Daphnia pulex: one gene and its partner. Each later gene encodes a partner of the first gene's protein in a complex. Links are inferred from orthologs where the notes say so. Each region holds a gene or a part of one and is shown on either strand. Other genes may lie near its edges.

Region 1 (7,163 bases):
AAGAAGAAGGAAGGAAAGATGAAAGAAGAAGAAAAAGGTGGGGGGCCTTGAATCGACCGAGGCTCGGCTTCATTTCCATAGCGGGAAACTACTTTACCAAGGCCATATAAGGCACACACAAGACTGTTTTTTAAAAAGAGTCAGAGGAATAACACAAGAATCTTCCTCACGCCAAGACACTCCACTTGTTTAAGGGCAAAAGAATTTTAGGGAAAACAATAATTATCATTTTTCTTTTTTAAACCTTTTTTGTTTTTTTCCTTGAGGCCAGAAAATCATTCTCCTGTCTTCGCCTGTTATCTAACGCTCTGCCACTAGTACTTACTTGACTTTACTACTACTTGGGGAATTATTTGTTAAAGCCTCTCCAACTGTATATATCACGCAAAATGGCAGAAATGGGTGTTTCGACATCGTGACGCAATCGTCGGAATAGCGGCGAATGGGAAAGTGACGACAGGATGTCCGGTCGTGTGGGTTTTTTACAAGAAGTCCACACAACGAAACGATTCAAGAAATGTCGATTCGATAAGAGAAAAGTTAACTAAAAAAAAGAGACGTCCATATTTGGCGGCGGAACTACAGAAAAACGTGACTCATACCGATGCACAAGTATCGGTCGCTCAACAATCGAATCAAAGCTGGAAAACGAGTAAAAATTATCGTTGACGACTTTTGCTCTCAATTCAAAAAACGGATACGATAAAAACAAAACAAATATAACACACACGTATGTACTATGTGGGCTATATCAGCAGGTAACGATCACATTTTCCTGTGTCGAATCCCACATAGCTTTTGGAAACGACCGAGAAAAATTCAGACATTCGAAAAGAATTAAACATTCTTTTATCGTTTTCTCTTTCCTCGTAAGAAATAAAAAAAGAAATAAGGTTTTTCTTTCTCTTTTTTCGCCGTGTCAGGAATAGAAATAAGGAAAGTCAATTAACTTAGGCGGGGCTCTGACAGTTGAGACCTGTCATCTGCTACTCAAACCGAAATTTTTCGAGAGCTGGTATAACCTGATTAAGCTAATCAAGCCACACAAATACCCAAAAGATTGTGGTGATTGTGAAAATAAAAATGGAATATAACGGTAATAATATCCACACTCACGCTGGCAAACTGTTCACGAAGTTCTTGTCGTTCTTCTTCGGAAAATTTACGTATATTCGAAGAAGCAGCTCCATTCCACTGGTGTAGCGCCATCTTACTTGGCTTGACGTCTGGCAAGGCACTGTTGCCGTCGTGTGCTCGCCGGTTTATTTAAAAGCCCCAAGCGGGGTCTTTTTTCAAAAAAACGTTTGCGGCTTGGCCCTTCCCACTTTTCATTTCCTTCCCCCCTCTGTGACCCCGCCCTCGACGTAGCTCTTATACATGTGCCTTATCAGCTGCTATATATTTTTTGTTGGGGCGATTAGAAATCAAACAACGCCTTTTACACACACACGACGGTAAATAGTATCCGCTTAGGGGGGGAATCAACTTGATATCGCTTCACCGAATTACAGAGACTCTTATGACCATATGTGGTCTAATATGATAAAGGGTTTTTTTTTGTGAACAGACGTCGGTCAGAAATCGTCTTAGTCATGAACACATTTATATATAATTGAAAAACGTCGCCTTTCTTATCTTTTTCTGGGTTGTAATTTGATTACTTCATCATTCCGACACTCGGTTAAGAGTTTCAAAAAAAAAGAAAAGTTTAAGAAATGAGGTGTGTACTTGTTTGTTATCTCTTACTCGAGGATGTAGGGGGCGGGGACACGGGTTTATAAAGAAAACTTGAAGAAAAAAAAAGAAAAATTTTAATAAATATAATACAAGGCTAATTCTCTTCTTTTGTTATCAAGTGAGGGAAATAATATACTGCCTACAATTTAAAGCAAGATCAAACAGTTGTGTCGTAGAGGTAACGTCCCAGCTCGAAATTCACCGTCCTGTAATCAAAAGAAATTTGTGAGCATTTATTATTGTAATCGTGTCAAGTAGTTTAATCTTTTGGTATCGTAAAACATGGACTAGATTAACGGTTGAACTCGGAGGTAATCTATTTAAATTTAAATGTTTACCTGGCTAAACTTCTGACTAGATCGTAACCGGCATTGCACCGGTATTTCGGAACTCCTTGAAACATGGCCGCTGATCCCGTGTGTGTGATGAGCTTTAGGGAAACCAAAGTAGAAATCTGTGTGTCGAACAACGAAGAGGCGTCACAATCTCGAACGTAAATAATTGGCCAAAAAATAACGCGATTAACAACAACAAGGAAAAAAAAAAGAGCTCAGACCTGCACAAATATATTTAGGGACGGCGTAACTCGTTCCTCAACGATCGAATAGAAAATGGCCATCAATCGATCGATGGGGAAGACTTTGGGTCCCATCAAACGGGCGGCGTTGTGCAACTTTTGCTTCTTCAATGACTTGAGACCTTTGTCTTTCTTCTTCCTGCCTTCTTTGGCTTTGACGAATAAACGACGATCGTAACGGGGCGGATTGTAACTCGCCAGATAGGCAGCGATGATAAGGAACTTGGAGAAGAATGGAAGCTCCATTTTCAGGCCTATTTGGGTCCCGCATGCATCAGGACCTCGGACGTAAACTTGGTTCAGACTGGAGCGAAGTTTCGGTTCAAGATGTCGCCATAATTTCACTGATTGAGTTTTGTCGATTTCGCCCGAATGGATGGGCTCCATAAAGGCTTCCCAATGCTGCGCGGCTATGTAGCGAAGTTCGCAGAAATCGCGACAAGCCACCAGGAAGACACCCAATATCATGGAAAGATATGTCTGGTAAAGAGATGAATGTTCAGGTTGTCGGCATTCCTTCATCAGTAGATCCAGAATTTCTTCTACAAAATTTGAGAAATGGTTGATTAAGATGTTGTGTTTACAATTGAATCAATAAATACCTTTGCTATACTGGGGGAAAAATATCTGTATGGGATCGAGACTTCCAGTGCCACACCGAAACTTCTCAAAGGGGATTTCTGAAATGAAGATGATGCAAATGTTGAGACCTGTAAACTCTGGGATTTTGGTCAGTGTTGGGATGATCATTCCATCACTCAAGTCTCGCATCCTTTCGGCCTTATCAAGTACAATACAAATCGGTCTGGTATCACCAAGCTGCTTGAGGTATCTGGCAAATTCATTGGCATTGTCACATCGTTCTTGACTTCCCAGCTGTTCAAGGACAGATTCATAGAGAAAGCGTGGACTGAGGCATTCAATGCAGTGAATTGCTGCATACTGAACATGTTCCACAGATTCAATCACTCGTTGGACTACTAACGATTTTCCGGTTGACGTGTGGCCATATACATACAGGAAAGGTGGAAGGGCATTCTGCAAATAAATTCAATCACGTTCTCATAAATATTTGACGTAAACATCCCAAGAATCATAACAAGTCTCACGCTTTGAAGGATATCCGCCAAGATTTCAATTTGTTGTTCTCGATGAGGTATTTCAGCTTTTAGATTCTCTTTTATGGAATTTATTTCCATTGTTTTTCTCGTAGCTCTTTCACTCGCCAAAAGAAACTTAAAAATCAAGATAACAGAAGTGGCGAATTCGTAGCGGGAGAAATGAAACGTAGACATTGCCAGATTCATATTCAGAAAAATGAAACCAATTTCTAATTTTTAATGAAATTACTGAAACTTTTCTAGCAAAATTTTGTCTTGCTAAAATTTTTTTAATAAATTTGATAATAATAAACTTAATGTTACGTAAGTAAGCTTTCATCTCAATTTTTGTCCCGTTATTATTACGTGGAACTTGTTGGCTGACAGGAATGTGTGTCGTAGTCTGCTATTCCTGTCACTTTTACAGTTTGTTCAGTTGGGTCAGTTTGCTCAATGGCATGTGCCGCTATGCTACTTGTTGGATAAACTGCAAAAAATTGTAACTTTGACTGTGGATCGATCGTATTAGGAATAATTGTTTTATAAAATAATGAAAATGAAATCATATCTATTTATTGTTACCTTCTGCGTTTTTTTGAACGTCTCATATGTCCATTCCTTGATTGAAGGACTCTACTGTGGAGTCGAGAACTGTTACGATGGTGAGCTATTTCGTTAACCTAATTTTAAAACGTTCAGTAATAACGCTTTCTCTTTTTTTTTAATTTTAGTGCTTGGTGTGACGAGAGAGAGCTCTAGGAGTGCTATAGGAAAGGCTTATCGAGTTCTTGCAAAGAAGTACCATCCTGATGTGCAAGGGCCTGAGGTGACTAAAGAAGAAGCTGAGAAGAATTTTCGTAGAATAGCCACTGCCTATGAAATTCTGAGTGATAATGCCTCCAGAGAAGATTATGACTACATGGTTGACAATCCAGAAGAAATGTACATGCATTACTACAGATATTACAGACGGCGTACAGCTCCAAATGTCGACATCAGATTGATTCTTGCTGTGTGTGTCACCATCATTTCTGGGATCCAGTACTACACTGCCTGGGAACGCTATGATACTGCCATAAAGTATTTGACCACTGTGCAAAAATACAGGATACATGCACTTGAAATTGCCAAGAAAGAAGGCTTGTTCAATGAAAATACCAGCAAGAAAGTCAAAGACAAGTCCAAAGAGAAGGAGGAAAAGGAGCAAATTATTCGAAAAGTCATCGAAGAGAAAATGGATATTCGCGGAGGCTATTCTAAACCAGACTGGAAGCAAATACTGTGGTTCCAGCTCATCATTCTGCCCTACACCATCTACCAGTACGTCCGTTGGTACATTATCTGGGTCTACAAGTTTGACATCCGAAAAGAAGAGTACGGTGAAGAAGAAAAGTTGTATTTGATCAAGAAGAACCTGAAGCTTTCTCAGCTCGAATTCGATGCTCTTGAGGACCATACCCGAGAAGAATATCTCGAACTGGAACTTTGGATTAAGTCGAATGCAGTCGATTGGAAGGCAGAGAAGGAAGAAGATCTGAAACGAGAACTCTCTCAATCTGCTCGCCACAAAGCGTACAGACGTTACATGAAGAAAGGAACGAGCCGACTCACCTTTGACGATTCATAATCAAGATATTTGACAAATTAGGTGGCTTCATCATCCAAGTTCATCCCGTGTTGTGATTTACCAATCTCATATGACAGTGAGTCTTTTCACGCCCTTGTTTGACGAAATACAAAAATATCAAATTGCAGTTATTGTAAATCTCTGCTGAGTAGAAATCCGTATTGGCGTAGAATTTAGCCCTGTATTTCCGTCTTCCCAAAAGTAGTACACGTAGACCTTTTTTTATAAACATATAAAAGACCCAGGAGAAAAAAATGAAAAAAAAAAAATAATTATACAAATAACAAGAAGAATTGTTCTTGGAAATTTCCACTCTCATTTACTTGAGAGTTTCACACGCATCAAATTATCCAGCACAACTAGATGCATCGTACCCGGGAGGAAGTTGATCATCTATCACAAAAAAGTAAAATAAAAGAGGGAAGGTTAACGTATCGATAGAAGCGCGTGAATTGAGCGCACCACGCCTGCTTCAGTTAAAGGTAACACCAATAACTGTACACAGAATTGAAACAAATGACTGCGTTGCGTTTTTTTTTTGTAGTTATGAAGTGTTTCGAAACAAGTGTGTTGTATTAAAGGATATATGGTGCGGACAAGACTTATGAAAGAGGGCGGCGGCTGGCTGCTTGTCGCTGCCTCTGTGACGTTCTCCGGGCCGTCTGTGGAGTTGCTCGAGCGGCCAGTCGTGGACTCCTACGCACTTCGCGATCACCTCCGCCATCAGCCGCGTCGTCATCTCGATATGAGCGGCGCTGCCTCTGCATCCAATTAGGATTGGAATCGTTGGATTCGCTGTCGGTAATGTACTCTTCCGTGTCCAAATCCATTTCGTCCTCGGAATCGGCTGAGGAATGGAACCACTTGAAGTGTCGGCCGTCCCACTATTACCCCGGTTGATTAAACTTTGGGAATTCATAGAGAAAAATTAGAAATAATATTTCATACCGCTGAATCGATAATATCCATGGAGTATGGATGCCAAGAGACGTCCCGAACACATTCAGAATGACCAGTCAGAATCGCTGCAGGCTTTCCAGTCAGGACATCATAAACTAAAATTGCAAATATTTAAAAATTAAATTGGTTTAGATTGATAATACTAGGTTATTGGGGTCTCACTGAAAATTTTTCCAGCTGCACAACCACTGTAAATATATCGTTGCCCAGTGCTAAATGCTGGACTGAAACGGCATCGGATTAAAGTTCTTAAGACACTGTGTCCGCGGTATGTCATCAAACTAGTATCACCGGCGATCTTGTTTTTGGGAGAAGCCACTGCCAAAGAATAATAATTCAGTTGAGATTTTAAACATAAACAATAACAAAAAGTTAACTTACGCCTCCACGGAACGTTTTGGAAACTATAATCCCAACTTTGGGCGTTCATAAGCATTCTAGTCTTTTGTTGAACTTCGTTTCCTGAGAATTTGCGCATGTCCCATCTAATTAATCGCACATTTTTTAAATGTTTTTTTTTTTACGATAGATAAAACAAGTATTGAGATTACAGCTTGATGGATTGGTCCTTGCTATTTGTAATCAAATGTCTGCCATCTCCACGCGAGTCGACGAACGTAAGTCCGTCAACATGGCCACCAAGAATGCCCACCGGTTTAGCCTCTCCGTTTTCCGCCAACGTTCGACGATCCCAAACTTTGCATAATCCATCATCCGCTCCAGAAAATAGGATCTGCGAAGTTTCGTCAGCATAGGCCACAGTATTCACGTCCTCTTCGTGGGCATCAATCTAAACAAGATGGGAGGTTAATTAAGGACTGTTGGTGGGTACGAAACAAAATAGTAATTTTACCCTGAGCGTTCTCTGTCGTTTTTCGCAATCGTAAATGTACAAACAGCCGTCATTGGCACCACCCAATACTTCATTTCCGTCTTGAGAAAAAGTAAGGCTGAAAATACAAAACCGTCGGAGTTCCGGGGAAAGTGGGAGAACTTCATGTCTTTCCACCTCATCGTAAATGTTACAAAGGTGGACTGAAAATGGAACCAAACGCATTAACAACATTTTTACTAAGTCGAATTATGTTTCAAGGTACTTACTGGCTTCCGACCAACTAGAATAAATGATGGAACGTCCATCAGGACTGAACGCTGTGTCTAG
Region 2 (7,376 bases), on another chromosome or scaffold:
GGATAGCAGCGACGTCAGCAGCACCGTGCGGACCAGGTATAGTACTTACTTACATTTTCATTAGTCGAGCGGTTTTCTCTGGTTTATTGGCTGGAAATTAACATTTTTCATTTTACGATACCAACAGAAGGACAGCGAATGACCCTGGACCCGTCATGATAGGGCCAGATGATCATTACGGCTTCCCATTGAGCAGCAATGGCAGCAATTACCGCTCGCCGCTGGCTTTGACGAATGCTGCTGGAGGAGGAGTAGCCGGGCCGGAGAGAGTGGCCGGATGGGGTCCTCCGCCGCCGTATTCCAGGGGCAGTACTAGCGAATTGGGCTCCATATCTGCATCGACCCCCATAGGAAGCCTTTCACCGGCTCATCGCAGCCCCGTCTCCACCAAAGACCAGCACATCGGACTGGGCTCTTCGCCAACGGCCAGCAGCAGTGCCGTCGGAGGAGGAGGAAGTAAAGACAGTTCGCTGAGAAAGGATCACAGGGCCGCCCCAGGTTTCCCTGTGAACTTACCGTCACGCCAGCAGCAGCAGCAGCAAAATAAAAGTATGGCCTCTGGTGTCCATCCTTCCCCAGTCAGCCGGATGAATATGGATCCGCGCCGGATGCCGTGGAGTCCGCAGACGGCTGGTATCAATCCGTCCGTCATCTCTAGCGGTCCGCCGCTGTTGACAGCCAGAAATCTTCCAGCGGCTCACCAAACAGGATCGCCATCTGGTATGTGTTGTGCAACTTGTTTTCCGAGCTAATGCACAGCTGTAACTTGTTGGTAGCTATATTTCATTTGTTTTATTTTTCTTTCTTCCCCCCTCCGGCCTGTGTTAAATACCGGTTTCCAGGTAGAAGAGATATGAGCAGCGGTAAATTGGTACCGGAATCTGAACTCTATTTCGCTGATACATCCTCGTATGCCGTCTCGGTGAACCACGACAGCAGCAACTCGTCTGCCATGTATGAGGAAATTCACGGTCACCGATACGACAAAATCCAGCGCCCCGTTGCCAAAGTCACAAGTATCCGTAGCGGCGGCAAGCCCTGCCAGAGATCCAGTTGGGACGGACAGAATCAACGGCCCCCACCCGGTGTCCACTTGGCTGGAGCTGGAGGGCAGCCACGATCGCGACACAGCGCTGACACTGTCAGCAAGGAGAAAATGTTCTCGCCCATCGTCGTGCCCAAGTTCATCAACTGCACCAACACCAACGGCCAGCAGTCGTCGCACTGGGTGCCGCCAGGTCAGCCAGACATGACCGCCGATACCTGTTCATTCGTTCCTTATCGTCGAGCGGCCGTTGTGCCGTCTGGCGGCAGCAGCAACGTCAGCGATGCCCGTTTCGCCGAAGGAGAAGTCTACGAAAACGTCACCAACTTGGATTTCGACGAGAAGAAACCGCGCACCCTCTCGCCCGACGAAGAAGTGGCCATTCTGACCAGCCAGTTTCACGGAACTATCCCCACGGAAATGGAAGTGGAGTCGACTCAGATGGATTCGGAATCGGAAGACAACGATTCCGTTATGAGGGCCGTCAATGTGTAAAATAAAAATCACCATAAGTTACCTAATCTATAATATTATTTCACTATTTACCGTGCTGTGTGTTGTATGGAGCAGTGCCATTGTATATTAATATACTGTAACTGTACTTGCGCGTGTGTGTTTGGCTTTTATTTCTGTTTTCTCTTGTCTCGGCAGATTCACAAATGATACACCTTGAAAAACACAATGGACTTGGGAGAACTTTATTACGCATCATGCCGTGGCATTGGAATGTTTTCTCAGAGGCACGTGTCTGCCAACTGTTTCACTTCGGTGGGAAGATTGGGATACTTGGAGAGAGCAGCTGTTAACTGCTCTGACGTGATGAGAATATGGTAAACAACAAATTCTTTCTGAACCTTCGAGCAAGAAACCCCCTCAACGGGCCGGATCAGCTCCAAAGTCTACAAAAGGAAAATTAAGTAGCATGTTGTTCATTTTCCGCCATCAAATTATTACGTTAAAAAGCTGGGCAAACTTTTTTTGTTATTTACCTCGAGGTGTTCCATTGCCTTCATCGCGATTTGCCGGTCGAATTTCTGCATCGAACTGCTTTTCATTTGCTTGGTATACTCGTAAAAGGCCATTTCGTAATTGCAAGGTTCACCAAAGTAAATTTTATCCAAGTATTTCATGCAGAGTAACTATAAATGAACGAGTTCAAGGAGGAATCAATATAATGTATACAAGTTGGCCAAAATAAAAACGTTTTCATTTTATGATGCTTAGCTAGGCAATATGCGAAATTTCTCTTTTACTATACTCACCAACTGCAGTTCGAGGACAGATAAGCCCTGGAGTTGTAATGTTTTGCAATCCGTAGTTTGAGACTCGATGGCGCTGACAATGTCCTTGGATGAGAGGAAAGGATGATTCTTGCCCAGGCGACATACTGCCACCAGCTTTAAGTGCGTAAAATTCAAGAATAATACGGGTACGTTATTGGCGTTCCTTATTCTGATAACAGTCAAGTGCAGGCTGCTATCTACACGATAATAATAAGTACCAATATGTTTTGCAGAAGACGGAGTTTCGGATTGAGGTTGAATAGTTTCTTGAGTGTGCCTTCGACTAATGGATCTTGTGCAAGATCCTTAATAGACTTGTCCCAGCTGCGAACGTATATGGGTTTTAATCCGGGAGGAGCACGCACCAACTGAAGTAAATTGACAAACGTTTCCGTGTATCTCGTGAAATCAGGTTTCACAAACAAATAAATTTGTCGATGAGAGAACCTAGACCTCACTCTCTTTTCAAACAAAGAAATGGCATCCATTCTACATGTCAATCCAATGACAGCCATTGGCGCCTAAATGCGATAAGATGAGATTATGTTATTGTAAATGTTGAAAAGTGAGGAAAGAGAGAATATGCGAATGAAGCTTTATACTTGAGCAGATTGGCAAACATCAAATAGATTGTATAATAAAGTTTGATTTTTATGCTGACAAAACTGATCAAATTCGTCCATTATAAAAATGATGGATTTTGCTTTTTTCCTGTCAGCCATCTTCAAGGAATTCAGAAGAAAATTTAGATTCTCTAGAAGAAAAAGGGAAATATTCAAATAACCTTTATAAAAGAAGCAAAAATCTAAACTGTTACAATTTACCTGAAAATGAGCCAAATGCTCTGCCAGCTGCTTCCTCCTCTAAAAATAGCTAAAAAGAGATGTCACAATAAATTTAAAAAATTGTCAGGAGGGTCATTACAAACAAAACTGAAAGAAAGTTACTTGGCGAGTGATTTCTTGAATGGCTATCCGATCATCAGTTTGGAAGAAGCCATGCAACTTAATGACAACATAATCTTTCTCAAAGTCACAGACAGCTTCCAGTTCAGCCAGCACACTGTTGATCAACTACAAATTTAACAAATTATTAAGCTGCATCAATCATTTAAAAGGAGTATAGGTGCTTACCAAGGTTTTCCCACTTCCTCTCGGTCCAATTAGGAGAGCTGAATTGTTTTCTCCATTTTGCACCGTGCTTTTAAGTAAATTAAAAACGTAATTCTTGTGTTCTAAAAATTCATCAGGAACTGAAATACTAGAATGATTGTTAAAAACCATTCGTTCTAATAGAATATTACGACAAATATCAGTGCAAGATGCCATTATCGTATCACGTACTGGATTTTGAATCGTGCAGACGATGTTTGACTGAAAAAGGGCGCGCAAACTGACACATAAACATTGTGCTGTCAAAATATGTTTGTTTGTTGTTACAAGGTGGCAGCACAATGTAATCTCTCTAGATTTTCAAATTACTTAACAAATCACAAGAAAACCAAACTCACACAAAAAAACAAACAAGTCAGTTATTCATAGCATTTTCGTGTGACGTGAACTGTATGTATATACGCATATGAAATACTTTGTTAACGCAGTTGGTTTTAAATCTTTTAAACCGTCTTGCCCATCGGTTCCACAGATTATATTCGAAGGCTTGTGTATTGTACGTAAAATCGTATCTGATCGATATCTCATAGTTTAGCTTATTTCTGAAATTGGTGAATCATATGTATAAGTGATTAAGACACCGAATGTATACTTAGGTATCTAATTTGGCCCATATGATAAATGAGTGAACCGCAGCAGGGGGATTAAGGTACAAAATAATTAAGGTCTCCGCTCTCCACGCCCGCGGTGAGTGGTAAATTGACAAAATATTTGGCACAACTTGCACTAAGAAAAAAAAAGTTGAGCCAGCCTGTGGAGTGTTACTTGTTTGACTTAGCTTGTTATCCTGAAGATAAAATTATTTTGAGTTGTTACACAGATTTCCTGGTAGGCAAAAGAACTAGAAAACAAACACTTTGATGATCGAAAACTTCATATTTGGTATGGAATGTGAAAAGGACAATCGAGGTACCGTTCGAACAGTAGGTGATTTCCGATTTGGGTGGAGCCGTTGTCTTTTCTCTGCATAACTAGTTTCAAGGTCCGTGTTATGACCAAATCAAGTTGCATCATTTTTCCATTTAATTTGGATAACCATAAAGTCACAGATGCTCCTGTCACTAAATCCTGGATTGTGTATTCAGCAGTGACTGTATGCCGGTGAAACGTGATCGTATATGGTTCGATCAGTTGATAAATTGGTGACGTAAATGCCGACGGGAAAAACAAAGTAAATTATTTCTTTTTTTTCTGTAGAATGGCTGAGCTGCCACATTCCTTATGGGTGCGTTTCTGTCAGTCTGCTGAAAAATCGCAAATTAATTATTTGCGCGCAAAGTAGAACAAGATTAAAGTCACATTTATTTCTGCCACTTGAAAGATCCCATTTTTGGTTATTGGTGAACCTGAGTCCTGAGATAGAATTTCTTCGTATAAATAGGTTGATACAAAAATATGCTGTTGGTGCAACCGCATTTTTTTTCTTCTTGACATATGTAAGAAAAGAATTCCCAGGTTTTGTAAATGAGATCGCGGATGCAAAAAAATGTTACAACGCAACAAATATTTGCTACCTTGGGGCGATTCAAATTATTGCTCCGCCCTGATCAGGGCGTTGGCCAGTCGTTAAAGTATACTAAAATGAATAACATCAAAGATTTAGCAATTTTTGTGCTAATCGACACAAAATCTCGCACCTTAAAACAAAGTGAAGATAATAGTATTTCATCGTTAAAAAATCAATAAATCTACCAGCAAATAATTTAGAATAGATTTTGAAATATTCCGTGGAACAATTCTTCAGATTTCCTCGATTTTTTTTTTTTTTGTGTGGTTTATTTTTATTTGATGTTATTTCTATTTTTTGCACCACTGTGTTTTCCGGCACATAAATTTTTTGAAGCGATTATTGAACTCCAAAAGTGATTCTGCTTAATCGAAACGAAATCGTGCTGGCATTTCGGACTCCCGAGTCCATGTCTCCCTCCCCCTTTCGACAAACATTTTTGTTGTGTGATTACATTCTTTTCCTGGTTTTTATAGTTGCACAGTGTATATATAGACCCAGAACCAGATTCAGAATTCTTATATTTTTTTCTAGCTGCAGATAGTATTCTATATATTTACTTAAGCATGTAAGCGTCTTGCATTATTCGACTCCCTGGGGATAACCCTGTATAATAACAGTTCAGCGATCCTTTATTTCCTTATTCGTACTTTAAAAAAAAGACCTAATTTGCGACGCATCATTAACGAATAATTTCTACTTGGATTTTTTACTTTCCTTCGGCACATAATTTTTTTGATTACAAGATTTTAATGCTTCGGTCAAAAGTTCAGATATTGTTTGCGATGACTTGGAAGATTCCAATCGATTTCATTTCTAAAGAGGAAGTTCACATTTTTGTAAACACTAAACAGACTCTGGCAAAACGTGAATCGGTCTCCAGCGACTTGAGTAATACTTGAAGTCTTGACTAACGGTGAATAAAAAAAACTCAGACCAACGAGACCAGAAAAAAAAACAAACAATCAATTCGCTGCCATAGGGCTTAGATTTATATTACAAAGAAGTCAGAAAGAAGTTGTCTTTTTTTCTTATAAATTCCAGCAAAAAATCGTCTAGAAGCTTACACGAGCACCTGTGCTGGTTCTAACTTTTTGTTTCTGCTTTTAAATAGTGAGCTGCTGAGGAATACCGAGAAAAAGCTGGAGAACGGAGGCGGGCAGAATCACTTCCAGGCAAGAAAAACCTGAGACCTTAAAAAGACCAGTGTGCATGCATAGCAATCCGGTTTTTTCTTCCACCTTTCTTCGTCAAGACCCCCTCTTTTTTCATTCGTTTGAACTCGAATCAAAAGAAAAAAAGAAGAAGCCTACCTTGTTTTTTGTTTTTTGTCTCTTGCCGAGGCCAAGCAAGAGGATCCAATGGAAATCGATGGGCGGGGTTGAGCAGGATTCGTATTAACCTAGATATATTCTGCCCACAATGCAGGAGCCACGCTACCTCCTATGCGCGTGTCGTTTTGCAGGTTTTCCGCGTCGACCAAATCTCACTCGACAAGTCTTTTCCTCGTGTACACATGCATGCAGAAGCGATACACAGCGCACCTTGCTCAGTCTGGGCGATGTTCTATCCAACGACACAAGTGCACACTGCAGCAGTGCAACTGGCCGTCGTTGATGATGGGCAGTTTGATATAGAATTTTAGTGTTTGTATTACAACAGGTGTTTGCTATGGTCGCCTAGTTCGTTTACAGAGGCCTACCCTCCCAAGTCCGAACTCATTTTTCCCCCCAGCTAGTGTTTATATCCTTGGGCAACGATTGAAAAGATATAATAGCCTTCCACTATAACCACAACACACATCGAGAATCAACCCCATAAGATGGTCGCCACAGCGCTTGTTTTCAAAGTTTGGGTTTTATCGGGACTTGTTTGTCTTTCTCAACTGACCTCCACTTGTGCAAGTGCCCCTTCTTTGACATCCGATCTACAGTCGACCAACTTCAATGGCACGCAAGGTGAGTGTTTATGCAGTGTTTATGATGCAATGTTGAATTGAAAAGCTGTTATCTCACTGGGACATTATAACGTTGTTTGATTGCACAACTCATTTCCCAATAACAAATTCGTATTCCAGGGCACCCAGTGGATGGGGGAAAGGTGACTAAATCTACGTCTGAATCTTCTAAGAATGATTCTGTCACTGTGATGAAGACATGGCGCTCAAGGTTCGACCGTATGACGCAGACGAGTCGCAAACTAAACGCCAAATCGCTAGTTAGCCCGCAGTTAACCTTGGACAAAATCTATCTTTTCATCGACACGGTGAATGACATAATGAATGGAAAAACCGGCGATACCAAGTTTAACAGAATGGTGAAGACATACGGCGTACTTTATACTTCACCGGGTAAGTAGAACTGAATACA

What was found. Proteins that work in one complex are often made in the same cells at the same time.
Region 2: the proteins of origin recognition complex subunit 5-like (region 1) and origin recognition complex subunit 4-like are in contact, whole or in part, in a crystal structure (PDB 4XGC), measured with the Drosophila melanogaster proteins. The link is inferred for Daphnia pulex from reciprocal best matches to the Drosophila melanogaster genes Orc5 and Orc4. Residues at the interface, in NP_477132.1 of Drosophila melanogaster: Met1, Glu2, Glu20, Glu24, Leu25, Asp28, Ser30, Glu31, Thr32, Tyr33, Pro34, Ser35, Phe40, Gly41, His42, Asn100, Met101, Leu102, Val105, Glu106, Arg109, Arg115, Arg132, Asn137, Val141, Arg144, Gln146, Leu148, Asn150, Leu151; in NP_477320.1 of Drosophila melanogaster: Val9, Arg12, Arg13, Lys16, Glu17, Gln20, Arg21, Tyr23, Arg58, Asp89, Asn91, Leu92, His93, Val98, Ser102, Glu147, Tyr250, Arg253, Asn254, Asp257, Glu260, Tyr261, Ala299, Tyr300, Asn303, Phe306, Arg307, Ala310, His311, Arg313.

The regions. Positions count from the first base shown.
Region 1 is NC_060025.1:8,381,990-8,389,152, reverse strand, and holds origin recognition complex subunit 5-like, read right to left. Parts: upstream 3,559-7,163; 5' UTR 3,514-3,558; coding exon 3,424-3,513; intron 3,353-3,423; coding exon 2,917-3,352; intron 2,857-2,916; coding exon 2,294-2,856; intron 2,192-2,293; coding exon 2,076-2,191; intron 1,944-2,075; coding exon 1,895-1,943; 3' UTR 1,881-1,894; exon of another isoform or gene 1,788-1,880; 3' UTR 1,708-1,787; downstream 1-1,707. Other genes in the region: plastin-1-like, read right to left, coding at 1,117-1,209; dnaJ homolog subfamily C member 25 homolog, read left to right, coding at 3,965-4,076, 4,146-5,041; DDB1- and CUL4-associated factor 11-like, read right to left, coding at 5,644-5,925, 5,990-6,096, 6,164-6,319, 6,383-6,486, 6,553-6,791, 6,855-7,036, 7,103-7,163. UniProt on the Drosophila melanogaster protein: Component of the origin recognition complex (ORC) that binds origins of replication. DNA-binding is ATP-dependent, however specific DNA sequences that define origins of replication have not been identified so far.
Region 2 is NC_060020.1:1,000,123-1,007,498, reverse strand, and holds origin recognition complex subunit 4-like, read right to left. Parts: upstream 3,714-7,376; 5' UTR 3,657-3,713; coding exon 3,462-3,656; intron 3,402-3,461; coding exon 3,276-3,401; intron 3,202-3,275; coding exon 3,153-3,201; intron 3,083-3,152; coding exon 2,931-3,082; intron 2,850-2,930; coding exon 2,547-2,849; intron 2,443-2,546; coding exon 2,308-2,442; intron 2,185-2,307; coding exon 2,035-2,184; intron 1,945-2,034; coding exon 1,780-1,944; 3' UTR 1,655-1,779; downstream 1-1,654. Other genes in the region: uncharacterized protein LOC124192631, read left to right, coding at 1-36, 128-720, 843-1,540; uncharacterized protein LOC124192633, read left to right, coding at 6,830-6,965, 7,085-7,357.